Arabidopsis thaliana: one gene and its partners. The protein of the gene in region 4 interacts with the protein of the main gene of each other region in a pairwise test. Each region holds a gene or a part of one and is shown on either strand. Other genes may lie near its edges.

What was found.
Region 1: the proteins of NF-YB10 (region 4) and NF-YC5 interact in a two-hybrid assay, tested with the Arabidopsis thaliana proteins (one large-scale study listed by BioGRID).
Region 2: the proteins of NF-YB10 (region 4) and HBI1 interact in a two-hybrid assay, tested with the Arabidopsis thaliana proteins (one large-scale study listed by BioGRID).
Region 3: the proteins of NF-YB10 (region 4) and SUP interact in a two-hybrid assay, tested with the Arabidopsis thaliana proteins (one large-scale study listed by BioGRID).

What each region holds. Positions count from the first base shown.
Region 1 is NC_003076.8:20,559,934-20,566,995, forward strand, and holds NF-YC5 (nuclear factor Y, subunit C5), read right to left. Parts: upstream 1,296-7,062; 5' UTR 1,238-1,295; coding exon 677-1,237; 3' UTR 501-676; downstream 1-500. Other genes in the region: AT5G50500 (uncharacterized protein), read right to left, coding at 2,217-2,624. UniProt on the Arabidopsis thaliana protein: Stimulates the transcription of various genes by recognizing and binding to a CCAAT motif in promoters.
Region 2 is NC_003071.7:7,950,543-7,958,872, forward strand, and holds HBI1 (basic helix-loop-helix (bHLH) DNA-binding superfamily protein), read right to left. Parts: upstream 4,198-8,330; 5' UTR 3,905-4,197; coding exon 3,521-3,904; intron 3,443-3,520; coding exon 3,224-3,442; intron 3,146-3,223; coding exon 3,011-3,145; intron 2,922-3,010; coding exon 2,850-2,921; intron 2,775-2,849; coding exon 2,640-2,774; intron 2,549-2,639; coding exon 2,494-2,548; coding exon of another isoform or gene 2,480-2,493; exon of another isoform or gene 2,099-2,479; coding exon 2,004-2,098; 3' UTR 1,862-2,003; downstream 1-1,861. Other genes in the region: AT2G18320 (F-box associated ubiquitination effector family protein), read left to right, coding at 5,678-5,767, 6,086-6,121, 6,795-6,989. UniProt on the Arabidopsis thaliana protein: Atypical bHLH transcription factor that acts as a positive regulator of cell elongation downstream of multiple external and endogenous signals by direct binding to the promoters and activation of the two expansin genes EXPA1 and EXPA8, encoding cell wall loosening enzymes.
Region 3 is NC_003074.8:8,238,453-8,245,738, reverse strand, and holds SUP (C2H2 and C2HC zinc fingers superfamily protein), read right to left. Parts: upstream 3,484-7,286; 5' UTR 3,236-3,483; coding exon 2,621-3,235; 3' UTR 2,367-2,620; downstream 1-2,366.
Region 4 is NC_003074.8:19,772,470-19,780,666, reverse strand, and holds NF-YB10 (nuclear factor Y, subunit B10), read left to right. Parts: upstream 1-4,377; 5' UTR 4,378-4,585; exon of another isoform or gene 4,586-4,665; 5' UTR 4,666-4,675; coding exon 4,676-4,899; intron 4,900-5,060; coding exon 5,061-5,190; coding exon of another isoform or gene 5,191-5,211; exon of another isoform or gene 5,212-5,298; coding exon 5,299-5,304; coding exon of another isoform or gene 5,305-5,400; exon of another isoform or gene 5,401-5,440; coding exon 5,441-5,515; intron 5,516-5,611; coding exon 5,612-5,668; intron 5,669-5,961; coding exon 5,962-6,000; 3' UTR 6,001-6,338; downstream 6,339-8,197. Other genes in the region: RIP3 (ROP interactive partner 4), read left to right, coding at 1-477; AT3G53342 (uncharacterized protein), read right to left, coding at 3,314-3,532; AT3G53330 (plastocyanin-like domain-containing protein), read right to left, coding at 6,729-7,391, 7,468-7,737.

The DNA of each region.
Region 1 (7,062 bases), on a different chromosome or scaffold from region 4:
GAGAAATATATAGAAATGATAATTAGAAAAAACAAAAACAAAAATAATTCAATTAATAACTTCCTCATAAGAGTTCGCTAAAACCGCGCTAAAATTTCTTGAAAGACAAAATTCAAATAAATCGTTTGTGCGCCAAATTCCGTTGGAAAACAAAGAATAAGAACGAAAAATGAGTTGGAAAATTTTTAAAATAGATTCAGGTTTCAAAATAAGTTTTTTTTGCTAGATCTCTGGATCTTGTTGCCTCTAGAATGTAATCTAACAAAAAGCTGCAAACACAAAAGAGTCTTGACAAGTAAAAGTGATTAAAAAAAAAAGAAATAGCCGAATAAACATCCTTGTTTACAGTACCCTATCTCTTATGAAATAGATTATAATATATGATTCTTTTCTACTCTCATAAGGAATCACTAGAAGATTATGTTTCCATGGGTAAACTGAGGACTTTTTTATCCGTAATCCTTGTGTTTTTGTATGCATAAATTAATCTAAAGCCAATATTCATAAACCATTAGATTCATTTGAAAGACAACAACAGAAATACATTCTTTTTTTTTTTTGGACAAAACAACAGAAATACATTCAACAACTAAAAAACATAACATTGAAAACATAAGCAGAACTCAAAAAGAAATTCAAGTTCTCACAACAGCGGTTACAAAACCCAATCCAAATATTAATTCCCACCGTTTCCTCCATTTGCCCCAGTCGCATCCTCCTCGGTCCAAGCTCCAGGCATCTGCGGGTGTGGCGCGTGTATTCCTAAACCGTAACAAACCGGAGTTCCTATCACCGTTCCCGGCGGCAGTTCTTCATTGTTAAGATCTGGCACAGCCACATGATCAGCAACATCGTCCACAGGATCAGCAGCGGCGACAACGGGCTCTCCCTCGTCCTTAGGGACATCATCACGCAAGAAATCAAAGATGACGGTTTGAGACACTACGGCATCAACATCAGATTTCCGTATCGTGAGTCGGTTGCTCTCTTGAGCATGGAGCCATGAACGCATCGTGAGGTCCATGACAAACATTTCACAAGCCTTAGATAAGAGATTTGGAGCCTCAGCAGCGATCATACTCACATCCGGATCAAACTTCATTATCCTCTTGATACGAGAGATGGGGAACTCGTGATTCTTGACATTCAAGTCACCTTCCATCCCCTTTGACCAGAAACTCTTTAGTTGCTCGTTATCTTTCGGTGGCTGTTGGTGGTTGTTGTTGTTGTTCTCCATTTTTTTTTTGTTTGAAGTGTTTGGGTTTGAGATATTTTTATGTGGAGGTTTGCATATATAAAGGAAAATTAAGCGTATATAAGATATGGTAGGATAAGATTAAGAAGTGATCTCTTTACATATATGAATCTCAACCTATTTAGTAGTTTGTTAAGAATATTTAATGTTATTAACTGTATGTGTGTGACTGACAGACTTGTGGTTGGTATTATAAGAAGAAAAAAGAAAGAGATTTGTTTTTACTTAAAGTGTATATTATATACCAAATAATAGTCTTATAAAAATGAAACAAAAAAAAAAATACCTTTTTCTCTATAAAATTGAAAGTTAAAATTTTGCTGTACAAAACTTAGTTTTGAATATCTTGTTAAAAATGATGTTTTCAAATGTTAAATGTGAAAGCATAATTTGCTCAAAATTTTAAGAGAATTTTAATAAGAATTTGCTCATGATGTTAAATTGAATTTTACTTAATTTACATTGGTTCAAATTAATGTATGAAACGATATATAACAATAATATATGAATGTACAAAGTACAAATCCTGTAGTCCCTCTAAAAGTTAAATTTTGGTTATTTCTCTAATTATTTGATTTGTTAACATGAGGAGGTAGACACTCAAGAGAGAATCTCACATTTTGATGTTTAACTGCAAAATAAAAGAGAGATCATTAATAAATATGTTAGTAAATTTTGTCAAACAAAATATTAAATTTAAATAAAAAGTGACCAGTTTGGAGTTGGATTGTTCCAAAAAGTGAACAGTTTGGAGTTAAACAAGAGTAGCCGTTTTATTTTGGCGCCTCCTTCTTCAAGATATTACTGCATTACTCCTCCATAACCACATTATCAGTTTCATCACTCCTCAGTAGCACCAAAACTCTTGTGTGGAGAAGAGGAAACACACCTTTCAATACTCAGTTTGATTATACTCGTAGCCTTTCGAACCAATGCACTTCAAAGCCTATTTGGCGAAATCTCAAGTCTTATCACATCTATAGACTTGAGATTTTCCCAAATAGGCTTTGAAGTGCATTGGTTCGAAAACATAAATGGTGGAAAGAGATAGATGGTTTTTGCACAAAGTTCGATAAATATCAATCTTGAAATTCAAAAACCAAAGATATCGTTTCCCCTTAAGATCAGATCTCGAAGTCTTAGATAAGGAATCCATAAAACTTGTTAAAAGAGTACTACTCCTAAACAAACAACTCATGCAGGAAGCTTTGCGCGGGTGTTGGAACTTGTTTTTGATGAAGTGGTTGTGGCCACTTTTCCGGTGAAGACGTTCATCGGAATGACCGGTTTTTCGGCACAATAGAATCATTGTTGCAAGCACTACGCGGACCGTGGTGGTGCATTGGAATGTCAAAAATGAAGTTATCATTTGAATGAGAAATGAAGGTCCAAAATAGCTGCCTTGGTATATAATATACAGTAAGTAAGAGGAGAAATCCAAACATACATGGGTTGGGTTTGAGATTTGAGAGTTGGGAAATGGGCTTACAACCAATAAAAAATATCTACCTTAATGATAGAGTTTTGTAACAACAACAAAAAATCAGTTATGACAATTAAGGTCAGAAAACGTTTTTGACATTGTTGTGAGAATCAAAATCTCATAAATTTTCGTTAAGGTGAGATCACCTCATGAATATATATACGTTGAGCTTGGGCTATGTAAGTCAAGTCATTGTCTTCTCCTTCTCTTCATAAGATCACAAACATCAAAATTCCTCTCTTCTCTCTTCTTCTTTTGTTTGGGTCTGAGAGTGTAACACAAGACTAGTATTCGTTCGGCTTTTGATTTTGAGTGTTGCCAATGAAAAGAGATAACAATTTTCTCATGCGACTCTAATCGTCATTAAACCCTCGCACTACGAGGAGATGTTTGAGTTATAAAGGAGAGATCATCAAAGCTCTCGACTCTGTTAAGCACCGTCAATCTCCGTTCCTCAATCATCTTTTTGGTATTGTTGAATTTCATTACCTGTTCTATATTAGTTGCTTTAAGTATTAGGTAGTGTCTATGTTAAAATATTCGTCGTACAAAATCTAGTGGTGGGAATTAACAAAAAAAAATAAAAAATCTAGTTGTGGGTTTTATTTTTCTATTTTTGTTCAACCATTATCTATCTTCTAAAATAGTTATGGTCTACTCTCAAAGAACAAGGTTGCGTATAATGTAAACATGGTTTTTTTGATGACTAAATGTAACATTTATACAAAAAAAAATATTTGGAGAAATTGTTTCAGCATTGTTACAAAATTAGAACTTATATTGTTGCAATTTTAGGAATTTTAATTTTCCAATCAATTTGTCTATTTTGAAAGATCTTGTGGCACTATTTTGACGAAGATAAGATGGAAAAGGATGATCAATAGCGGAAAGAAAGAGCAAAAGGAAGAGCAAAATGGAAATGGATGACCTTCTGGATCATTTTCACCTCCTTTACCTATAAGCAACTGAAAAGCAACTTGATGTGAGAACCTGAATAGTTCTTTCCTTGGGTATGTCCTTAGATTTTGATGGCGACGGTGGTATGCATTGGTCCATAAGGTTGTCTCTCAAGAACCTTTCAAGTTGAGTATATATTGGCTTAGTGGTGAGAAAAATGGATATGTGGGTTTATTGAAGAAGTAGATTGATTCAGGGTATTACAGGATGAGTGGATGCTTCTCAATTGGGAAACATATAAGCAACGACTCTCTCAACTCGTTCTCACATAGAGTTGATGTGGACAATAGGTAACAAAGGATAATGCACATATATCCTAAAAAATGCAATATTTTGGCTCTTTATGCAAACTGGTCACTATCTTGGAATATTTCAACTTCTTTAGAAGAAATGAACAAGTATGAAATGGTAGAAGTGCTTCAAGATTTTGAGGAAGAGTGAGCTGTGACGGTTGTGCCGCTTGTTAAACTCATGGGATTTACAACTTACAACTTTATTTTTAAGTCACAATCGTCAAACATTCTTTTTCATTGAAATCTTGAGGCACTTCATACTTGTCCACAACTTCTTGGGGAGTTAAAATATCATGTGACCAATTTGCATAAAGAGCCAAAATATTGCCTTTTGTCGCTTATATGTGCATCAATCCTTTCTCACATATTGTTCACAAGGCACTATGTGAGAATGAGTTGAGAGAATCATTGTTGCTATGTTTCCTAATTGAGAAGCATCCACTCGTCTTGTAATACCCTAAATCAATCCACTTCTTCATTGAACCCACATATCCATTTTTCTTGCCATTAAGCCAACAAATGCACATCTTGAACGGTTCTTGAGAGACAAACTTATGGACCAGTGCATACCACTGTGGCATTCCATAATCATCATAAGTAGCCCAAACTTGGTTTTCTCTCAACAAAGCTTGAGTCTGATCCTTGTCGAAGTCTTAGACATCTGGAAGACTCGAAACACTCATAACCACCACATTTTATTCATCTTTTTTGATCAATGCAGGATGAATATCCAAATAGATGCAAAGATCAAATGGTTATGTTATGTGTGCTCATTATCGCAAGCCCTTTGGAGCAATTGAGTACTTGCTCCATGGATAATCCTTTTTAATCGATAGAATTATGCTAAGCAGCAACAAATCACGAGACTGAGTCAGTTTCCGAGCTATGATATAACTAAAGAGTTGTCACCAGAAGAGTCGTCGGTATGAATATAATCTACTCGGTAGTCACTAGAGGAGTCACTAATCAGGGCTAAATATGAATGTATCTCGAAGCAGGGCTATATGATTGGAATGAGAGTTTGATCATATGTTATATCATTTTGAAATTCTTATCATCATTTATGTCAAAGTTTTTATGTGATTTGCAATGAGAAGTGGAGCTTATAAGATATTGTTCCTCTATTTTGTTCTGAGAGATGTAAAGACTTATTAAATAGAGAGCAATCATGTCGTAACTCCAGTTTAAAACTGTTACATATCCTGCTAAGAAGACTCGACAGTTTCTTGCTCACCAGGAAATAGGGTTTCAGATAACGAAAACAAACCAAGTACAATTCACAAAATTTATTTCTTAATTTTTATTTTTATTTTGACTTACACTTTCATTTTAGTAGACTTTATCTTGTTTCCTAAGTCTCGTAGGTCTTTGCTTCCTTCTAGGTCTTGATAAAGGATTTTCTTCCTTTTAGGTTCTGTTGAAACCCTAGAACCTTTTTTTTTTCAAAAAGGTTTTAACACTAGAACCTTGTTTACAGCTTTCTTCTCTTTTATTATTCACCAGCTATTGATTTGATATAAACGAGGCTAAGAAAGAGAAAAAAAGAGAGACAATTAATGTTCAATGTATCGTTTACATGAAAGAAAGAGAAATATAGAAACGCCTAGTTAAAATGAATCGGTTCTACAAACTGATATTTTGTTATTATTATTATTTTCAAACTGAGCTTTTGTATTTTGACTGAAGGAAAAACATAACTGGCAAATATAAAAATTATTCTTCTGAGAAGAGAGCCTCGGAGGTGTTGTTTCCTTATTTCTTGGGTACTAATTCATCATCATTATCATCCTCAGATGGTCGCAGCTTATGGTCATTATGCCGTTCTTGTAGCATAATGTATAAATAATAGATGCAAATTAAAGACCACATGATTATTTGTGTTCATTGTTGCAAGCCATTTGAAGCTTTTGAAGTGTGTCTAGCTCCATCGATGGCTCGTGTTACTCCTGTGAACAATGAATTAGCATGAAGTCCATGAAACAACACTAGTCATCAATGGAGCCGGATACTCAAAAGCTTGAAAACTTCCAACATGGAACACACATAACGCTGTGATCTTTGCATATATTGGATATTCACACTTCATGCTAAAGCGCGGAATAGTGCCCACATGCTGAGACGATCTGATGATCTTAATGATGATGATGATGAGAAGTTAGTACCCAAGTGATCATGAAACACCTCCGAGATTCTTCTCAAGCTTAGGGTCGTTTTCGATCGCTGTTAAAATAGTACACAATATCTTTTGGTCTCTTAGTTTTGATCCTGCAAAAGAAAAAGATTGATAATCAGAAAGTAGAAAGTGGGAAAACTTTTCATCAAACGCTTTAGTATGATTTAATTTCTTATGCCCGAGGCACAGGCTAGAGACCAAAAAAAAGTACTCTAAAATCTGATATATATCCCAACGAAATACAGAAAAGAAGCCTCCTAAATAATAAAATCAAAGTAAATAACACGAGCCATATATCAAAGGTGGTTTCTGTAAACCATACCTTTGCCTTGAGAGTGAAGAAGCAGTTTCAGACTTGTGGGTGATTAATATGAGAAAGAACAATTTTATCTTTTTCTTCTTTAACGTTAAAGTGAAAACTTCAAGAGATAAAATTTATAGGATGATAAGTACATGTGGTAGTGAGGATTAATAGAACATGCATAAAACTATTTATGGTAAATATTCCATTCCTTTGTATATTCACAAATTTTATATTCTCTGTATTCCCTCAGTCAAAATATTCGTTTCTGATTTCATTTGATTTCCATATACAAAATCGCTGTTTGTAGAAATGAATCTTTTCTAAATGGCGTTTTCATTAATTTATTTCTTTGTTTCAAGAAAAATATAGTTTGAACAAAGACTTTTTTTCTTCTTAATCTCTAAAAGGTAACCAAAGAATTTCTACTCTAAACGAACCCTACTGGATATTGAGAATCTTGAAAACCTTTTTTTTTTTTTTTTTTTTTTTTGTAAATATGATATTTTAAATTTTGTCAAAAAAACAAAACAATTATTGTGCTGGATTTTTTTTTTCTTCTCAGTTATTCTTAAATGTTCATTTCTGTCCGTGTATAGT
Region 2 (8,330 bases), on a different chromosome or scaffold from region 4:
ATATGTTATAATCTCAAAAAAAAATTAGCTCTTATATTTCCAGATAAAAAGGAAAAATCAATCTACGGGTTCCGACATAAATCTAGACTAAATACGACTTTTTTTTTATAAACCGTAAGAGCTTTATCGTGACTAACTATTGAAATTGAGCAATACTTGGATAAGTCTTTTAACTACTAAACAACCATGAGTTTTACAACCATGAGTCTTCTAAAACTTTTAAACATATAATTTATTTGAAAATCTCTTTAACTCTCTTGTTAATATATAAAAGACATAAATATAATGTATCATGTAAGTGTTTAAGAAATTTAAGATTACATATACAATTATACACTATATAGTTAATAATTATAGGATAATGGCACGAAAAGTTTGTACCGAACCGCATCATATCACATATGTAAACAATATTTTTCATGAATGAATCTTTTGAATTCTAATTAATATGAGTAGACAAAAAAAAAAGAGATTAAAAATTATAATTAAGTGAATGAATTTATATTTAGATATTAAAACTATATTTGTTTTTTGTATATATGGTTTAACTTCAGAAATAACAAAGACTTTCATTATTTTTGATAACGACACCTCTCTAATTTTGTTTCTTTTCGAATTTTTTTGAAAATAATATAGAAGAGATTTTCAACTACTTCAAAAATGAAGGAAGATAAAATTCAATGGAACCGAAAGAACAAAAGAAGGTCCACTTTGGTTAAAAATCTCTGCAACCACAATGATGCCCACTCTTTGTGGTTCAGATTCTTCATTCTTCGATCCTCTCAAATCTCTTAACTACTCCTACCTTCAAAAAACTACTTCCAATTTCATTTTTGGTTATGGATAATATCTTATCATATAGATCTTGTCAAAATCAGACAGTTCATGAATAGATCATTGGTTGGAAAAATTGATATGAGAAAAGAACATTGACCCACTTGGTAGCTTGAAAGCTACTTTTAGAAAACATATTGTGATAAATATATAGAGAGCTTGTGTCAGCATCAGTAACATTATACATATCACTATAGTAGCATAGTGTAGTAGATTTTGTAGTGCATTGATAAAGTTGGAAAAGAAAATAATAAGCTAGAAACTTAAGGGATCTTTGGTTTCTTCATATAGATGCACGAATGTTGTTGGCTTTGTAAAATTATATATGTAGGTGCATCCGAATGCAAAATTAGATATATTTTGAATGTAATGAAAACTAGAGTTTGAATGCAATCGTAGCATCAACAAGACAACAATGATCAAACGTCTAAAATATCATTCTTTGAATTAAAAATGAAACAAATTTAAAACAACGTCCGATTTTATATATGTTCACCAATTTCATAAAGAATTCATGAATTTGCCATCACTCGAGAATCCAATTTTCTTATTTGTTATAAAAATGTTTACTAGTGTAGTTTTTAAATTAACAAAAATTTATTTGACACTAACTAATATCCAAAAAAAAAATAGAAATAGAAGAATCCTACTCGATGATGTTTTATTTGACAAAATTTTATTTGACACATACTTCACATTTGATGATGTTTGCTTTTTACAAGAATCCTACTCGAATATATGGTTAATCTTTAGCAAGAAAATAGAAGAATAAATGAATAACCTCTCCCGAATCTGTGAATAGTCGATGAGCTGTTTCCAAACGAAATTTTTTTCTTTTCTTTTCATCTAAATGTGCATTGAGAGTCATCATTCGGATTCAACATCCAAATTCAACGCCATGATGTTGGTTATGAATTTTTAAAGAATACAATGCAATCTTGTATCAAAATAACTAAAGACAACATCTGTTTAAGCTATTAGTTTTTTTTCTTATGATCGATTTAATTTTACATAAATTAAATAGCTAGAAAATAATTTGTATTCAATGAATAAAATTTTATGTGAAGATAAAATCGACATTGATTAATTGGCTGCCTAGATACCGTTTACTTTGATCATCAAAAGTATTCTTCCACCGATTTATAAAAAATCATGGCGACCTAATAACTCTATACCCATACCCTTCGAATGGGAACATATTGATGGGTACATTTCGTTGACAATAGAATCTTAGATATTTTATTGTAATTACCACAAGAGTTTTCTTAGATATTCGTTGCAGAAAAAAAAAACAGGAAAACGATTTATAATTTTCTTAGATATTTATATATCCAAAAAAACAAACAAGAATTGTAATTACCACAAGAGTTTTCTCTCTTTCTTCTACAAATATGATATATATCTATAACTCCTCTAAAACATATTTATCTATCTCTCTATATAATCTATACACAAAGATTGATGGTGACAAGATCATTGGATTGCTATCTCCAGTTCTTCTGGTTTAAATATCAGAAAACAAGGATCAAAGGATAATGCATTAACCAAATTTCGAAATTACTACTTTGATGAGCAAATGTAATAGAATTTGCTTCTGATTTTGATGATTGATTGATGTCAACCATGTTGTTTCAATGAATCTTGCTTAGTAATGAAAACCGAGGCTAGATGTGTTGTAGAGACTCTGTGATTGAGTTTCCCAGCTTCCAGATGGCTGAAATAGAGAGATACAGAGACAGGTTACTTCACTGACAAGGAACAAAAACTCTGACAAGTTTTTCAGTTTCATATAAAGCTGTACTTACAGCTTCGATAGATGTCGTTTGGTTCGGGTTTATCGCAGACAAATCTAGAGATCCTTGCTGGTCTAACGGAAACAATGGCACATCAACCATTATTGATTGCTTTGAAGCAACTACATTTGTAAAGTAAGCCTGAAACTGAAAATTTCATAACCCTTAAGTTTGTTGAGCAATATCAATATGACTTTGAGGGTCTAGACAATGTGTTTTCACCTGTTTTACGGATACATCTTCCACGGCAAGCTCTAGTTCCGGGTTCAAGACAGCAAGTTTCATCGACAGGAACTGCAAAGTATGGCTCTTTAAGAATTAGACTTATTCTCTTTGGTTAATAGTGAAGTTAAGTTACAGAGAATCATGGTTTCATTGCTTACCTCGACTTGTCTTTGGAGACATTGAACATAATTGATGATCTCATCAAGCATACCAGCTTTTCCTGTGACCTTATTGCATCCAGGCACAATATCTTGCAGATATTTCATTTTCTTGCTGATCTTTTCTCTTCTCGCCTGCAAATCCAAATCCATTCAGAAACCCTAGATATATCATGATTCTTGTATCACAAGAAACTTATTTATTTTTATTACCCTTTCTGCTAAGCTGTGTCTGTCAGTGGCTTGGCCTCGACGAGCTCTCACGTGGATATAATCTAATTTCTGATTCTCTGAAGCTCCTTTCGATGTCTCCTTTGAAGTGTCTGAAGATGCTTCAGTGTTTCCCATGTTTGATTTTCCTTTCATGCTTGACTCTGTCTCAGCCTCTACTTTGATCTTCTTCTCTGTCTTTTGCTCTTCCCTTGTCTTAACCTAAGACATTATTAATAAAAAATATCAAAAACCATGTCTCAAAACAAAGTTTTTATCCAAAATTTTGATCTTACAAACCTCTGGTTTTCTCTTGTTCTTCAAGGCAACGGCTCTGGTTTCTTCACCGGTCTTCAACAAAACCTCCATTGTATCCACAGGTTCCATATGGCAGCTACTTGTTCTTGAAATGGATTCATGTGGAGGACCAAAACCCATGTTATAGTTTGGTCCAAAACCAGATCCAAGCATTTGAAATTGGCTGAAACTACTCTCCAACAACTCATCATTGTTGCTTCCATGGAACTGAAGTATCTGAAGAAGTTCAGGTGAATTATTACTGCTATGGGACACAACTTGTTGCAGTTGCTGTTGTTGCTGTTGTACCCATTTAAGCCTTTCAAGTACAGACATGTCCATAGAGTTTAAGGACAAGCTTTCTTGAGAGACAAGACCTTCCAACATATTGTTCTCTGCAGAAATCTTTCAACTTATGATCTTTTAAAGTGAGACCAAAAGTACAAAACAAAATAGAGAATGGGAAAAAATGCAAAAAAGCTCTGAGTTATTTGGTGGGTTTAAAGCAAAAGAGGATTTGCTATAAATGTATGAAGAAGTAGAGATTTAGGTTATGTAATATTGTTTTTGGGTGGTTGCTTAAAAAAGATGAAAGAGTTGGGAGAAACTAATCCATTGAAATCATTCTTCTTAGCTTTAAATAGAAAACAACATTGACCCACACACATAAGGTCCCCTACTTCTTATGTTTTTATTTTATTTTCCTTTATAAATGTAGAAATTTCATTTACTTATTTGTTATCTCTTACCTCTCTAGAAATAAATACTCTCTTACCAATTCAAAATGGTACCACACGTTTTTTATACGCCACAACTTTTTTATACGTATCCCTTAAAAAATATATAGCAATAACAATAGTTTTCTATTTTACGTAGATGTTCAACATAACATTTGTATCGGATTTGAGACCGATCTTTTATGATAAGTTTACGAAAATGGTCGTACTGTAGCTATGTGATAGTCACAAATGACAGTGAGATAGATTAAACGTTAGCGTTGGTGGATAAATCGGGTCCATCGTTTAGAGACACTTGACTATGACTAGGAGAAAAAAGAGGCTCAAGAACAAATTGCGGAAAATAGTAGTAAAGATTCGGTATCTAAGAGAGAGAGGGACATAAATTGATAAAAGAAAAGGTTGGGAGCAAAGAAGGTGAGAGGAGAAGGTGTAGGGTCTAAGTGACATAACCCACACCATGTGGGCATGTCCTTATGAACACTAAATTTAGAGGTTCTTTATCCCTTCTTTGTGTGTGTTATGTTTTCTTTTTTTTCTTCTTCTTTTTTGCCCTTTCAAGTTTATGAGAGGAGCTTTACAAGGAAAAAATAAACAATGAGTGAGACCTTAACATATATTGACATTTGGAATAGTCAAATTAATTGAATTCAATCCAAACTAAAATTCAGAAAATTGATTGTTTCTATAAAACTTACTTACAAAGTAAAACCCAAACAAACTACATTGAATCCATGTAACAAAACTTATATTAAAAAAAGTTTGACCGCAAAATTTGCATCATGACATTATTGACATGTAGTCTAATAGTTTGTATTTTGTGTTGTAAATTGTAATTGTATCAGTACAAAAAAAAAAAAAACTGAAAAGAAGAAAACATCGCTAGAGAGAGGGGTCGAACCTCTGACCTTGTGGTTAACAGCCACACGCTCTAACCAACTGAGCTACTCCAGCTTATTGATAACAATAATATATAACTAACTATATTCAGTTAGTTTGAAATAAAGACACAAGACAAGATCATGCAAAAGATCTTGTCATCTTGGGTTTTCCATAAAAGAATCAAACGAAAATCCATGAGTAGATAGATAATACAGCAAGACAACAAAGAACAGTATACCACCAACCATTGAATATTTTAGAAATTAATCTATAACATGACATGTTAATAATTAAAAGCGACATCAAAATATATTTAAAATATATAAAGAAAACAATGGGTTTGAAGATAAGTGATTGGAAGGTAGGAGACCATTGCTTTTGATCAGAGTGTTTGATCATATTCTTCTGTCTACTAGAGTGTGGGCTTCCAACCTAAAACCAATTGGCAATAGGTGGAGAGACCCATATCTTATATATACCACTTAAGATCCTACTTAACTTCCGATGTGGGACATTGTCCCTAATACGCCCCCTCGAGATGATGGCTCTTCTAGCCATTGATCTCGATATGTTTGGGCATGGATCGGCGGGCCAAGTATTGGGCCGGACCGATGTGGATCGGGTTGAGTATGTGCGGATCGGGCTCTGATACCATATTAGAGTGTGGGCTTCCAACCTAAAACCAATTGGCAATAGGTGGAGAGGCCGCTATCTTATATATACCACTTAAGATCCTACTTAACTTCCGATGTGGAACATTGTCCCTAATAGTGTCCTTCTCCATTCACTGTTGTAATACTATTAAAGTTATAAGTTTACCCACTTCCAAATTTCAATCACATTCATAAGAACTGCAAAACGAGCGATTTTTTTTTTTTTTTGGATTTAAGTTCTTATAAGTTTTCCATTGTGAAAAAGTTAGCTAGTTATGTTAATATTATACATGTAGCAATATAGCACAAAGTCATTACTTTCAATCTACATAGTTGGACCAAATTGAATCAACTTTATAACATTGGCTGCATTAATGATTTTTTTCCTAAAAAATACAAGTCATGATATAATTCTTAAGGTTTCTCACATCTAAGATGTATCTGTCTAACAATATTAAGTTGTTTCTTTTTGATAAAAAGTTTTCTAATTTGTTTACTGATAATATCAAACAGAACCGTTGTAATAACAATATCGATGCCAGTAACAAAAGCTTATATGTTTTTTTGTTATGTGTAACAGTCTGATACACAAATAGATTACTTTTTTTTCAGTGTTTTCACGTCCAATTCGGACCCTCCAGTTCGACCGGTTAACCCACAATCCAAACACTTCTCTGGTTTGGGTTAAGTATTAATAACCGGAAATACTTACTATTGGACTCAAGAAAGAATGAAAGGGTGTGATCCATTTCAAACCCCATATTTCTTAATATGTTTTGATTTTACAGCAGAGAGATTTGGACAGGTTCTTCCTCTGCCATTTCAGCATCATGAGGATGATAACAATAATGAAACTCTATCTTGCGTTAAAGAAGAGAAACTCTCGGTGTTATATCAATCCCTGTGATAGAGATTTGGATTATAACTAAGATTGAGCCCTAAGTGGTGTTGTGGACCCCCTTCTTAAAAGTTGATATAGAACCACTCACTGTTCTTGATTTTCAGTTTTATGAAGAGACTTGCGGTTTCTTCATTGATGAAGAGAAGAAAGTCTTCGTGGTTTTTGAGTTAGATGAATCTCAAGCCTACAAATATGCTTACATCATTGGAGAGAATATATGCTTGAAAAAATTGGATCTTGGAGAAGTTAGAACATTTTCTTGCCCAATTGTGTGCTCCAGCTCTTATGTTCCAAGCTAAGTTTAGTGAAAATCAAGGAAGAGGAAGAGCAAAATTAGGAAAGAGAAGAAGTGAAAGCGAACCAAGTTAACAACAAGGTCTAACACTACACTATTAGTCAAAAAGGAAACAACAAGAGTTACAATTTATTAATAACTTATAACTCTTCTTTGAATTAGAAAGAAAGAAAATAAAAAAAGCTCAACTTTCATTCGTTTTTTTTTCCTTTTCTTTTGCAATGTCCTTTAAACAAGACTAATATAATATTAATTTTGGTCATAAGTAGTATTTTGAAAACTCTTGTATTATTTTCTTTTGAGCTTGAGTTGGAGACAAGGTGATATGTTCGAATTTTGAAATGAAAGCAATCGGCATGATGAACAGATTCAAAGTTCTAGTACTCATAGTAATACCTCAAAGTGTAGCATCCAATGTTGGGCCTTATATCCAATGCAAACATATGAAGTCAATGTTGCGCTTACATTAATTTTCAAAGTAGAGGAAGTAACTGTCGACTACAAACAAGCTTCGATGTTGGGCCTTACATCCAATGCAAACATATGAAGTCAAGCCTAGTGTAATCAACAGTGCGTGTGAAACAAATGTAACAAAATAATAATAAATGGTCACAAGTTCCTTCTATGACGACATTGTATTGCATGTCATATATCCAATATTCCAAGTGACCAAGTCGAAATCCAGTTTTATTTATTTGGACAATCCTTCTTTCATTCATAATTTCCCAACTTCAACGAGGACTAAAAAATTAAATTGTATTAATAAATATATAGAATTGAAACACTATAGTCTATAAATATATATAAACACTATACTACAAACCTCAATATCAACATTTACTTATTTTTAATCAAAAAAATAGGCACCAAATAAAATACCCTTCTATCCGGACGAATCCTTGTGCTTCTGATTCGATTACGAGACAAATTGAATTAGTTTATATCTTAAAATAAAAAGTATTCAAAAGCTTAGAATAATTATGATCTGGACCAGATATGGTAAATAACTAATGCAAATTCCTTTGCAAGAAAAAGTTGAAGAACTTATTGTTGCCACACTCCCACAACTAGTTTCATAGCGCCACCACCAGTAAACATGCATGTGTTTGATTCCTAAGGGGTTTTTAAGTCGACATTAAAAAGGCTAAATTGTTCAAATAGTTATCTTACAGATTGTTTTCTCATGATGGCTAAGCCAATGCTCTATGAAATTTAACTAAAAATTATATATTAAATTTTGCTGTCGAAAATTCGATAACCAAAAATCTACATAAAACTCTTGGATATATGCTATCTACTAAAAACAAAAAAAACCATGAAGATAACATTATGCGGGTTTGAATTT
Region 3 (7,286 bases), about 12 Mb from region 4:
AAGATCTTGACATCACTTGACATTATGTACGGACTATAGAGCTTTATTAGATATAGTCGAGTCCGTAGAGATGGATGATGGATATATTATATTAATATGTAGTGGCTAATGTGCTTGTAAAGAGGCTAAAGATACCAAGTCCTGCCGGGATAGCTTTAGAGATACAATTTTTTCCATATATTTGGATTTGAATGTTATTAATTTTGTTGATGATCTGTTGTTATTATCCTTGTCTCACATATTTTTCAATGACTCAAAATATATGTCTCTATATAAGATACTTTTATAACGGTGTTCTTACAACTGAAATTATAATGTAAACTTTTGTAGCTGTTGAAATTGTTGAAGCGTTTTCATTAAATGGTTTAGAAAATAAAGAAATTATGGATTTAAGTCGTGCTAATGGTTTGCTATCTTTTTTTTTTTTTTTTTTTTGGTTTGCTATCTTTACAGTTGCCAGACCACTCAAATTTGAATCTGCGTTAATTTTTTGTACTAAGATGAATTATTAACTTATTATATGTAAATAATGAAGAAATATTTCGGAAAATTCAATGAAAAAGAGAGATGATCAAATAGATGAAGAAAAAGAATAGATGAAGAAATTAAGAATTAATAATAACGGTGCGTAGACATTTGAAGTGGCTGGTGTTTGAGTATGTGAAAAAGTGTTGAGGAAAAACTTTAATGCTTTTCAAGGAAAGTAATAATTTGGTGGAGGAGTTTGTACTGTTTAGTTATGTGTAACGCTTAGAACTGACGAAAACATAACTTACTATAAAAGGAAAGCTCATCATGCCATTCAAAACCCAGACATTGTCGGGAACATGCAAACCCTCAGGTTTTGGGGAATACCAAACTTCCAGCATATATACCCTCTTGTCCAAATCCAACTATGGTCGTCACATACACAAGTGTTGCGTATCTGTGTTACTGATTTAAGAGATTTTAATATCTTCCTATAGTTTTGTATGATTTGTTCCGTACGTGTTGACCTTTTCAAACCAAAAGAAAAAGAAAAAGATTAAGGAAATATATGGCGATCGAGTAAATTATGACATGTTTACAGATTTTGCACTCATGAAACTGAAATATGCTTTGGGAATTGTTTTCTAATAATGATTTGTTACCCTCAGTGCAATGATTCAGTCAAAAATATTTATATTTTTGTACAATTAGTCAAGATCACACGCAAACACAGTTTCTATTCAACCCATTCAGATTTGAAATAAATTGATAAATTATCATACAAAAGTCAAAATGACAAAAACTAACCAAAAATGCTATGAGTGTCAAGAGTTTGAAGAAACTGAAAGCCCTCTTTTCGTATTCACAAACAACAGAAGCCTTGATTTGTGGTAAGCATATTCAAATGCTTAAATATTAAATTTAATTTCTAGTGTGCCAACCGAAAATTCATATACATATAAACGTGATATCTGATACTAACAAAGTTGCAAAAGCTCCTTATCAGAAAAAGACATAGTTGCAAATGATATATACATGTGAAGATTCATACTCCATCAAATAACATGTTCTTTTTCATAAATGATATTCTATTAAATTAAATTAGTATCTCTATAGCAGAAAAAATAAGAAGATAGAAACCCTAAGTACACGAAGAATTACTAATAAAATGAAAATTTCTATTTAGTATGTTCCACGAAACTATCTATTTCGAATCTTACTAGCCCGTTTGTTAATTGTTACCTAAAAAGGTAGGTTAGATGTGTTAGTTCGAAGGAGATTAAGACAGTGTCCAATTTGCTTGACGATATATGATCAGCATATATAGGCACTATATGAAGTGCGAATTTTAAGTTTTGAAACTAGTGAATCGTTCCAAGGCAGAACTCATTGATATGTTTTACTTTTTTCTTATATATGCCCTTGTATAGGAATTCAATTTGAAGTAGCTAGCAAATTTAGTTTCATCTAGATGCGACCTACAAGTTCCACTACCGTAGTAGAGATGAAAGATATGGATTGAACAAGTAGATTAAAAAAAGTATAACAAACGATCCCTCTCCAAAAGATCAACTATGTTTTCGGTTAAAAGAATAATCATTACTTTTATAAAGCATGCTATTTTGTAGTTCTTCATACATATTATATTAAAAAAAAGATCTAATATATCTATCTAACTATGTTGTTATTATTGAAAACTGTGCAATTGTATATAGGCTGCCCCAATATATATATATATATATATATATATATTTACTTATTTATTTGCACGCAAAAGATAAAAATAAATTATCAATCTTCAGAAAACAAAAAACAAAACAAAAAGTAAACTAAGTCTAACATATCAATTTACATGAAACGTAAGAACTAAAATATGTAGAAATTTATATACGATCGAAGAGATAAACAATAATTAAGGAGACAAAATTGTATCCATTGTCATACATAAAACGGTAACAAGCGCATACATATTATATAACATCTAACGCAAGCTTATAGCTTATACTATAATCATATAATCAACTATAACGTTCTACTAAATAGCAAGCTTAGAGAATTTCATATGGATGAAACTAATTAACCTTAGAGAAGCATCATATCTTCTAGAATTGTGAACTTCGAATCCTTTATGGATAAAGTTATTACCATCTAATTAAGCGAAACCCAAACGGAGTTCTAGATCCAGATCTTGCTCTGATTCGTTAATCAAACCAATCTCAAGCTCCAAGCTGATGATTTCATCATTCCTCAGGATCTTGCAAGCATCTTTACTGGTGAACCTTGTAGCCTCTCCAGCCTCCACTAAAAGAGATGATTTCTTAGTCTTACAAGCGTTTTCTGGTGTATGTTTTGACTTGGGGCTCAAGGAACGGATCAAACCTGCCCTATATCTTGGTGAGGATGGAGGAGAAAGGGTTGGAAATAGGGTTAGAGGAGAATGATGAGGAGGAGGAGAGTTTGCCATGGTTGAGTAAGAGTAATTAGGGTTAGGGTAAGGAGGAGAAGGTGTTGAAGATGATGATGGAGACTGTTGTAATCTGAGTCTTGCTCTGTCTCTTCTGTGAACATTCATGTGGCCACCAAGTGCTTGAGCCGATCTGAATTCCCTTTTGCAGAAGCTGCAAGTGTAGGATCTTGGTGGCCATGAAAACCCTAGAAGATAATCATGATCCTGTTGGCAATTATCATAATCTCCATAGCTCCATGGTGAAGTTCTTGCACGGCCATAGAAGCTGTTCCTCAACTCTATGCTGTTTGATCTCTCCATATGTGCAAGCTCTTTCTTTTTGGCTATGCTAGATAAAAAAATTGTAAAGATAATTAAGATAGTACTAGTAATGATTTGTGGTACATCAGTTTATAAAAGCAAAGTGTTTGTAAGATCTGAAAAGATGAACTCACTTTTTTCCCCTGGGAAAAATCTAAGATATATCTATGTCTGTCTGTCTCTTAGAGAGAGAGAGAGAGATATAGAGATGAGAGAGAGGTGTGTGTGATGATAGGGTTGGGGCTCTTTGGTGTTAAGACTGTGAAAGAGACTGATTCTTGGACGCATTATCAAATCCCCATCTTAGATTTAATAAAATGAAACTTTAAAGAAAAAGCTTTATTTATGTTGGGGTAAACATGTATTAAGCGAGCTTTTCCATGATTTGATCTATGGAGATGACACAAGTTAATTAAGTACATCTATTACTTTCATTTAATGATGTTACACCTTTAAGTTTCGTGAAAATCAACAACCAATTTTGTCTTAAGATACCATTCAGTGATTTTATGCTATCATGAAATAGTGTTTATAGTGTTATCTATTAAACATATTCACAATTTTAACGAGACCTAAAAGATATATGGAGTAAAGATAGCATATGTGTAATTAAGAAGGAAATGAAGTTAATATTGAGAGTCTGAACAATTTGTCAAACAATTTATAGATAAAATCCTCAAACAATTTGTCACAAATGAAAAAGAAAATCGCACTATCAAAAATATCTCAACATAAAATATGATTTTATTGAAAGGAAAAAGAAATAATAGAATGGGATGGGGAAAAAGAAGTAGAAATGAGTGTAGGATTTCACTTTACAAAAAAGAAAGTCAATTGTCTTGTAATCATGTTATGTAAAACAAGCATTGTGAAAATTTTATAAATAACCAAGTTATCGTTTTTGTATCGCAATCGAAACATGATGAAATCACAGAATATCAAACTTTTGTAACACCAACAAATTTAGCGACCAACAAATAAAACATTTCACAAGCAGTAGATACCATGAGAAAACACTATTTTTAATCATAATTTTCTCTTAAAGTAGTAGATATATGTTATTATTATAAAAGGTAGAGAGGAAAGAGTGATGGGTGAATATGTAAAAGATGGGAGTGTATAAATAAGGAAAACCTCGGCGAGCAAAAGGACATATTATATCAAAAGTTTTATACCAAAAATGGAAAAGTGGATGTTCCTTTCTCCCATTTTTCTTAAATACATTTAATATAGAATTTATCATCTATATGTATTAATAAAGCTTTCCTCGTGAGCCATATCTTGACATTTGTTTGTTAGCAAATCATAAATAACGACACACATTATTATTAAACTTAGGTCTTTAGATTTTGCCTTTCCTTCAAAGTTTTATATAATACTATATAGATTCATACATTGTCCCTTTCTTTTGTTTTATATAGTTAATATATCACCATGTGTTCTGGACCAATTCCTTTCAACATGTGTTGTGTTTGCTCAAATTGTGACCCTTTACTTGACATTGATTTCATCGTCGGCACATATCTATGTTTAATTTGGAGTTGTTTAATTATATATCTGGAACATTCTATGGGATGAAAATTAAATGTTTGAACTTGCTAAATTTTCCATTTTATGGTTCTATATAGAGGAATCTGTGAGGTATATAATATTGAAGGATCTAGGGAAATTTGAGGGGACAGATTATATGAATTGGGAAGCAACTCCTGTTGATTTTAAGAGATTTGTTTTGCGATATAATTAACCCGAGTCGAGCTGATCTTGAGTTTAATAACATCTGTGTTCTAAAATTTAAAATCGCATAAATTTGCGAAGATACGTAAAAACAAAAATATGTTTTGAAAATTCCTTAAATAAAATTAGATTTTAAAATACGGTTCATGCATGGTTTACATATGATTGATCTAGTGAAATTGAATGTAAGAATTTTATGTTTGAACTCTTTGGATAAAATAGATTTACTAGTAGGATTGTTAAAAGGCCAAACTGCAAATAGTTTGGAGGAACCGTACAAATGCAATTACAAAGCTCAACATTCACCAACGAGGAAAGTCTCATTTACTACACATTCAACTGCTTTATATATATATACCCAATATGTACACATTTCACAATTGTCGAAACACAAGAAATTATCTAACCATCTCGCCCCTTTTCAATCACTCCTCTCGTTGAAATCCAACTTTTGTTACATGTTACTACACTTCACCAATTGACAAAAAAAAAAAAAAAAAAAATCAGCTGAGCTTAATATTCGTAGAAGTCTTGTTTTATCTTCTAAATATGCTACTTAAGACAAAAAATAAATAATATATTTTACCCTTTTTTTTCGTCAAAATAATTCATAAAAAATCTGACCTGCTAGGAAAAGTGCCTTGATTAGTTTTTTTTTTTTTTTTTTTTTTTTTAAATCATTGATAACATTCCAAATGGGCTTGGGTTGAAGATTACAAGTATCTGATCCAGTTACAAAAGCCCAATAGAAAAAAGAAAACTATCGACGGAATTGAAGGATCGGACCCTTCTGATGGACGATTGCACGGTGGCCGGAGTCTTAGATCCGGTGAACCCGAAATCCCCAACTTCACGGCAACCACGGTGGATCGACGAGCCACAGGCGGAAGTGCCTTGATTAGTTATTCACGTCAGGAAGAGTATCTACTGAATAAATTAATACAACATACTCATACGGAATGATTAGACTCAAAGTATTGCGGAATTAACCAATGGATTTCTTAAGGTTCTCTGACTTGAAATTAAATTACTTTATACATTTTGTTTTTGTATTTTTCAAGATCCTTAAATTTATAATTTTACAACCACGCAAATGTAATATTGTTCTTCTGCGCGTCAGCAAAAATGTCTCTTTAACTCAAAGTTCTATATCAAAGTAATTAACATGTGTAACTTGTTTGCATGACACATGCCACATATAGTGGGACGGATTTTGGGCTGTTTGACACATATTAGTTGTGATCTTTGTACCATACTTAATGTTGTGGTAGATGTTATTAGTATATATTGTACGACGTTAATCTATTTAAATTAATAATAGTAGGTTCCAAATTAAGGACGATGAAGATGTTCAGGTGGATCATTGACGTTGTCTTTTACGGATTATCAATGTGCCGACTAATTAAAACTAATTCGATAAACGAATGAAAAAATGGCACTGGAATAAACCAAATGATATAAATACATCAACTATTTTACCATCAAACAAAAATCGATTTATTATGAGTCTTCTGAAAAAAATAAAAATAAAAATGGAAGTCTTAAGCAAAATAAATTTAATATACTTAAAGACATTTTTTTTTTACTATACTACAATATTAAAACATAGTAAATGAGTTGTCACTAATCTTTTGCTAAAAGAAAATGGATTTCTTAACCTAATAGCTAGTAATGATCGCCTATCCATAGTAAATTTAGAATTGCATGACTCTTTCTAGTTTCTACGAAGTCCAACTAAAAAGAAATGTCACACCACCAATTTAAAAAGGTATAGCAAAAGAAAAAGTTCCCCGTTTATTTCCAATATTTTTCGGTTCTCTATCATTAATTTTCACTTATCCAAAATTTATAATAACCTGAAATGATCTGTTACCTGGTGAATGGAGTGAAAAAGATGGGAAATTTTCGGACAGAGAGAGTGGAATTAGACAAAAGATTCTGCCAAAATTAGAAGATGATATCTCTCATCATCGATAGGACACATCCAACGGCTGAAAGAGAAGGTCTAAAAGTCTAGTGGCCACTCTCTTTTTATTTTAATTTGTTACTTTTATTTACCATTTGTGAATAAAGGGCCTAGATTTTTCAATAGCTTCGTTGATCGAAGTTGCAGAGTTTACTCGCAGTAGTTCAACACTTTATTGTTTATTGCATGAGCCCCTTCCCTACGTGTTTTACATCATCACTAATTTTTTTTCTCAAATAACTACTATTTTTACTTTATTATAAGACTCATTATTGTTTATTTTCTTACAAAATTGTGAAAGTCTCTTTCATGAATTTGAATTGAGAAGGTTTTGTTTTTATCATTTTCAAC
Region 4 (8,197 bases):
AGGTATCAAGAAGAGTATATACAGAGCACATTGCAGATAAGAAGCGCATACGAACAAACAGAGGCGGTTAAATCAAGATATTCACAGAGAGAAGCAGAGTTAACGGAAGAATTGAACAGAACCAAAGATGAAATCGAAGGTTTGCGCAAAGAGTTAATGGAGAAGGTGAAAGAAGACGAATCTACGGGCGATTTGAAGAAGCTAGAATCGGATTTGATGGAAGTGAGAGGGAGTTTAATGGATAAAGAGATGGAGTTGCAGATTCTAAGGAGTGCAATGGAGAAGAAAGTGGAAACCGCAAACACGGAAGCCATGGAAGCTGAGCTTAAAAGAGTGAAGATTCAATGTGAGCAATGGAGGAAAGCTGCTGAGACGGCAGCTTCTATACTGAACAATGATGAGGAAAGAACAGATTCTATTGAGACTAGCAAAATGTTGAAGAAGTTTGGTGTGTTACTCAAGAAAAACCATAAGTAATAATAATACTGATTCTTTTTACTTGATTTAATAAAAATGGCATTATTGTTGTATGTAAATTTATAAAATTTCGATTTGTCTAAGTTTAATTTTTTTGTTGAAACGTTGCCACATTTGTTGATGAAATTTGTATTGTGAAATGTTGTTTGAATTCAATACTTGAAAAATTATACCTTACTTGTCTGAGTGTGAGCTGCTAGTAGCAAATTTAGTTTGGTCCTGTACATTGGTTTACACTTTACATGTATAGAAGAGTCAAGAGTGTAAAGTAAAAGTTTGTAATAGAATGTGAAACTCTAATTAAGAAGCCACATGAATACCTCTCAAGTCTTGGATCTTCCTTTTGACATTTTCTTCTGTCTATTTTCCTTTTTGTTGCGCACTAAACGCTGAGACGGCCCACTAGATTGTCTTTGGTAATGACAACCAAATCCACTTCATGAAAACATTTGACTTTTTTTTTTTTGGCAGAGACTAACCCATTCTACCTAGTTTTTAGATATCAGTGACAATAATTAATTAACTACTAGAAAATGTCCCACGCGATGCGTGGGTGAAATGAATGTAGTGAAATATATGTCTATAACTAATATATATTAATATAATATTAATTATTTTATAATACATTCAATAAAAAATATCATAAATATTGTGATTATGATATTTTAGTTTTAAACTAAACATTTAGTTTATGAATTATAATCTAAAATTATTTTGGGTATTTATAAATTAAAAATTATCGAATTGATCAAAAAAGAAAAATTATAATATTGATATACAAGATAAGCCTTGTGTTTTATTTAAATATATGAAAATGATATGCAATATTTCTCTGAGTAAAAGATTTCATAAGTATATATCATATTGATTATAGTATGTGTGTAAATTGTAAAGTAGTTAATAGATTTGAAGTTGTGAGATTGATAAAGTCTTGATTAATGAGTAAGATTAACATATATGAATATTGATATATTAATACTAATTGATATCAAAAGAACTCTAAATACTTTATACAATTAATATTCAAATTATTTACTATTTCTTCCATCTTTGAACAATATGGTAAGAAAGTATTGAATTTATTTACTAATGATTTACTATTTACACATGATTTTCAATAAAGAAGTTTAAAGTTATTTCGATGCACATAATCAAATATTGAAGAAAATATACCATAATTCGGTTGAAAACTAAATAAATTTAAAATTTAAAGTGCAATGTAACAAGTAACAACATACAAAATAATTTAAATTAACAGAACTTCCCACCAATGATATCAATGAAGATTATATATTTTGTATAGTTTCATCATTCATCAAATCTCGTAGGTTATATATTATCTTTATCCATGTAATTTATTTCTATATTACCTCATTTGCCAACAAATGCATCAAAAGACGAATTATTATGGTCACTATAAAACTTAAGAAACGAAATATAGTGTAAATTTAGCATGATAAGTAAAAGATAAACATTCTTTCAATTACTATGATTAGTAAAATGAGTTATAAGTTACTGTTTAGTACATAAGATTAATAATAAATCAAATGTGTACAAATAGGAATAATGTTTGTATATTAAACTATAAACTAAATGAAAGAGACGAAAATTAAAGAAGTAGCCACACATTAAAATAAAAAGTGAATATATTAAGCAGGACCAACCAAGAAATATCATATGGATCCAATAAACATTTGGCTATATATGTTTATCATTTGGTTGAGTACTCACTGTTGGTATTTTTCATTGAAAAACTAAAATAATTTTAAAGATTAATATGAATTTTAGCAACTTGACTTAAATATTTTATAAACAACATTGGTCAACTTCAAAACATGAAGAATAAGTAGAAAATGAAGGTAAAAGATACCTTGTTTCTCATGTAAAAGTGAGAAGGTACCTTAGACATTTTTCATCAAGTCATTTCTAAAGGAAATCCACCTTTCACATATTCACTTATGCATATACTCTAAAATTTGACTCAACCTCTTTATTTCAAAACCTACGAAAGTCACATAAAATTTTGTTTTTAAAGATATTTAGTTAAATATATATATATATATATATATATATATATATGTATATCCATTAATACTATGTTTATATCCTCTATTAAAATATCGGACATGTTCATAAAATAGCAGGTTGAAGACACCGGGTTCCCATGTCGAACCACTAAAGTGAAGCTAAAGGCCTTTGACACCATTTACTAAACTTTGAAACTTTGACTATGGTTGTGACTCGAATAGTTAAAACACAAATAGCTGGAGAAAAAATTAGAACCATGACATTAATAATTAAATAAAATATACATCACAGATGAGCATCGAGCAAGACATATATGATTTGCTTACCTATTACCTTCATCATGAACAGAAATTCTCAGTGTAATGATTGCTAAGAAATTCTTAGTGTAATAATTTTTAAGCCACTTTGTATCTACCATTGCACCTATAAAAGGATGTATTAGCAAAAACACATGAAACATGTTATAAAGAAGAGAAGTAACAAAGTGTGAATCAGTATCACCACATTTGGACGATACAAAAGCTACACAAAACAAATATTAAAATTATAAAAATGAGAGAGAGAAACTTGATTTTAGTTCATTTCTTTAGTGAAAATGAGAAAAATAAAAAACAACGTAATACAGAGGACGAAGCAAACCTTTGAGATTACCATTCTTTGGTTTCTCCAATCCGTCATACTCATATGGTTCGTGCTTTGTCTTTTTTTCTCTTTACTTTCAATTTAATTATGTGGAAAGACTTAGCAGACCACAAAATATTATTTCGATGTTTAAACAATCCCGAAAGCAACACAGAATGATAGAAGTTTAAAAGGAGTTGTAAGAAACAAACCTTGAGGAACCGATGTTAATGTTGTTCCTATGAAGAATCCTACCAGGAGCAACGTCACCACCATCGATCAACTCTCTAAGCCCCCAATTCTCCACCTCCTCTTCTTTCACCTCCTTCTTCTTCTCCTTCTCCACATGGCGGTTATTAGGAAGCTTCACAGGCAACCTCTCGAAGTAATTCCCGAAACTTACCATGCACGTTTTTATTATCTTCGTATAGAAAGAATGAAGCTTCAACCTCAAGCGTTAACAAATGCAGAGAAACCAACTTAAAAAAAACTGACATGCAGCGTCTTGCATTTTATAAGGTGAAGGGTTACACTAAAAATGATATTAAATATGATACTAAATATTGAAATCATGGTCATAATTACATAAATGATAATTATGTTAGTGTAACGTAACTGCTTTGATTTATGAAATAGAACAGTTTAGTTGACTAAAAAAAAAACAGCAATAGTTAGACATAATAAATAAAAGAAAACGTGATATCACATGTGTCATTAAATAGAATATTAATTAAACTCAAAGAATATGGAAAATAGTATATTTAAATTTAAGAAGAATGACACATGTCGAATGAATAAAGCGCCACTTGTAAGATTTTTAGAGCACAAGTTTGAGGAAACCTTACTTTATTATATAAGATACTAGGTTTTATTACAAAACTAATACTATTTTGATTCCAAACAAATATATATTTGCTTAAATGACAGAATAAAAACTGAATAAAACAATAAAGATAACAAGAAAAACAGTAAACCACTTAAATAATTAAATTAGACAATTAAATAAGTAGAAATTACATGTCACTGAGAAAAACCACTTATCATAACAACTATTTAGATAAATTAAATCCACTTACATAAATACAATGTATATAAAAAAGAAATCATGTTTTTTTACTATAGTTTACATGATAGAAGAAAAAAATTCACTACATTGAAATAAATCTTATATATTTTATTTCACCTAATTACTAAAAAAAGCAGAACAAAGAAACATTGTTGAGGAAAAAACAAAAGAGTTTTTTTTGTTTGTTTGGTTTTGTCAAATTAACAAAAAAAAAATGAACGGTGTCGATAAAAAAATAAAAAAGCCCTAAATCGTTGAATCGCATACAAGCTCCTATCTTCTCCAGCGTCGGATCAGATCAGATCAAATCTCTCTCTCCATCTCCGTCTCCTCCTCCAATCATCATTTCTCTCTCCGTCTCCCGCTCTTTTTCGAATTCTCCTTCTTCTTCAGGTATTCTAATCACTTCTTCGCGCTTTCTGGGTTTGGTTCCTCGATTCTCCCGATTTCCCAATCTCTACCTGATTATCTAGGGTTTCTGAGATGGCCGAATCGCAAACCGGTGGTGGTGGTGGTGGAAGCCATGAGAGTGGCGGTGATCAGAGCCCGAGGTCTTTGAATGTTCGTGAGCAGGACAGGTTTCTTCCGATTGCTAACATAAGCCGTATCATGAAGAGAGGTTTACCTCTAAATGGCAAAATCGCTAAAGATGCTAAAGAGACTATGCAGGAATGTGTCTCTGAATTCATCAGCTTCGTCACCAGCGAGTAATTTCTTTCTCTACTTTCTCAAAAATGTTACCTTTTTGTTGCTTTGGTGGTTATAGCGTGTAAAGCCCTCTTCTTTGTTAAGTTAGATTGATGTTATATTCATTGGGTTGTTAAGCAAAGTCACTATGTCGATTTTGGAATATTGTTTTGCCTTTTAGGGCTAGTGATAAGTGCCAAAGAGAGAAAAGGAAGACCATCAATGGAGATGATTTGCTTTGGGCTATGGCCACTTTAGGATTCGAAGATTACATCGATCCCCTCAAGGTTTACCTGATGCGATATAGAGAGGTATGTTCCACTTCAGATTAGTCAGTTTACATTCTGCTATACATTCACTGACTCTCTGTTTTTCCTTCTCATTTCCTTGTCTATGCTATTTGGATTGGAATTTTGCAGATGGAGGTTCGTGGTTCTCCTCTTTCATTTATCTTTCTGATAGTCGAATTTTGTACGTGGATCCTTTTATGGGGTATATGGTGTATGATTGTATCTAATTAGGATTGTCTGCTACCCTTTGCTATTGTTATCTGTCTGATAGGGTGACACTAAAGGATCAGGAAAAGGCGGGGAATCGAGTGCAAAGAGAGATGGTCAACCAAGCCAAGTGTCTCAGGTAATGACTCGGTCTTCTCCAGTTGATATGGTCGTTTACCTAAGCATTAGCTTCTCCAGCTAATTTATTGTTTCCCTGTCTTTACTTTCTGAACAGTTCTCGCAGGTTCCTCAACAAGGCTCATTCTCACAGGGTCCTTATGGAAACTCTCAAGTAAGTGTTTTCCGACAAAAGAAATGTTGATACTTATAAATGAATTCATTCTCTACATAGAGCAGAGCCGGGGTATAAAGAGAGAATATTATTAACAATTAAAGGATTTAAGGACTTTAATAGACTCGATAAAACCGTCATATATGCATTATCCACTTTTTGAAATCTAGACATAGGTTCTCATATGTTCCAGTCTCTGAGGTTCGGCAATAGCATCGAGCATCTTGAAGTGTTAATGGTATTTGTAATCTATCAATATGCAGATAATTGATTAAACTCGTTTGTGAATGTAGGGTTCGAATATGATGGTTCAAATGCCGGGCACAGAGTAGTACTAGGACACTATTCATCACAATCTTCCGAGACTCGACTATGCCTGTTGTGTCTGAGAATCTGAGTGATCCACTTTCCATAGATATGGATTGTGGTATCTCAGTTTTTGGGAGAGAGAAGATTTGTATATGATTGTGTTGTAGGGAGAAGAGTTTGGTTTGCTTATGATAAGAATTGAAAAGCACCTTTTTTTTCTTTTGACTGTTATGTTTCTTAGGTTTTGGTCTTAAGCAGAAGCTATTTATCACCACTTCATTGGCCTGTTGATTCTTTCATGCAAGTGAGCCCGTAACTTTTATAAAACAACATCATGATTTATAATTATCTCTTTGATTTTTTGGTCCTAAATTCGAGTTTCATTTGACATCATCCATTGATAAAAAGAAACGAAACTTGATATTGAATCGTTGTGGTGTGGTAAAATTCACGATCTAAGTTTGTGATAACACTCCGTTTATCTGTTGGTGTATATTGATAAGGCTTTCTGTTACTGCTCAGAATCTAACACATGGGACATGTGAATGTCATATGGAACATGTTCATGTTTATGGGCCTAATCTTGATCAAACAAAAATAAAAACTTTGAAATTTAAGAAAAACTGAATAACAGAATCTAAATGAAACAATAGTAAGAATAAAAAGACCAAAAACTCTTTAAAAGAGCAAAACCAAAACCTAAAACTCTTGAACTAAACTCAATGCTTAGTGATGAGGTCTGAAAGGGTAACTACCATCTGTTGACGGTAGGTGACAACTTCTTCTTGGGAACATTCGGGAAAGTAACAGCTTCGGTTGATGGTTGCACCGTGACTCGAAGCTTAATCCCAGCCTGACAAAGACCGGTCTTTAAGCTTACAAAATAATGCACTCCTGGTTTAGTGAGCTTAATGAGATCGTGTCCCGTTTTGTACACAGCTACAGTAGAAGTCGATTCGCAAGATCTGAACTCAAGTTCATCGGTGATTTCCCTAACGTCGTTGAGTTCCTTGTTGTATTGGAAAAAGAGAGTATCTTCAACATGAAACTGTTTACCCTCACTCCACTTGTAATAGTAGTAACTGTAATAAACGCTCCATCCTCCGTAGTCACCAACTCTGTAGATCTTACCAAAAGGAAGGATCTTGCTCGGTGGTGGTGGTGAAGGAGTAATGCGACGTGAGGGTTCATGGGTCTTGCTCGGTGGTGGTGGTGGTGGAGGAGTATTCGGACGTGACGGTTCATGGGTCTTGCTTGGTGGTGGTGGTGAAGGAGTAATGGGTCGTGACCGTTCATGGGTCTTGCTTGGTGGTGGTGGTGAAGGAGTAATGGCTAATGGGTCGTGACCGTTCATGGGTCTTGCTTCGTGGTGGTGGAGGGATCGGACGTGACTTTTCATGGACGACAAAAACGTCTAGTTCCAGTCCATTGACGCATTGAATATGATTTGAGCTGATGAAGTAGTGAATTCCTGGTTCCTTGAGGGTTACGACATCATGTCCTGTATTGTAAACGGCTTTAGGAGAAGAGGAGTTGCATGACTCGTACTTTAAAGCATCGGAGAGTTGAGTGACGTCGTTAACGTTCTGATGGTATTGGAAGATCAAAGAATCCCCGACGTGGAATTCCTTACGCTCAGCCCAAGAGTTCGTCTTCCCACTCCACCCTCTAGAACCTCCAACTTTGTAGATTTTCGCCGAGCAGCAACTCAAGAGAATCGTGATCGCGAGCACAAAGCCAAAGATCTTCTTTGTGATCATGTTTTGATCGTATAAGAAGAAGAAAAAAAAGAAAGATGATGAGATCTCTAAACTCGTTGGATCAGGAAAAGTATTTGGAGTAGAGTTTATGAATGTGTTTGTGAAAAATAAGTCACGTATTTGCTCTGTTTATATAGAGATTAACCATCCCAAATCATAATCCTTGTCTTCTTAGGATTTCGTTTAATTTATCCTCTTTTTCTTTATATACAAATAAAATTCAAAACTTTTTTCCTAATGTAATGAAAAATCTTATCTTGTTTTATTTTATACAATTACAAAATCTTAGAATTCTCTATTAGTTAGTTCATCGTATTTCGGTCGACGGCTATATGTTTGGATATTGGGTTTTACGCATTAAGGCCCATATGAGGTCAAGTTTGCTTTTTTTTTTATGGGCTTTATTAGGCTTCAACGAGATTAGTTTTTAAAAGTAAGAAACAAAAATAAAAATGGAACA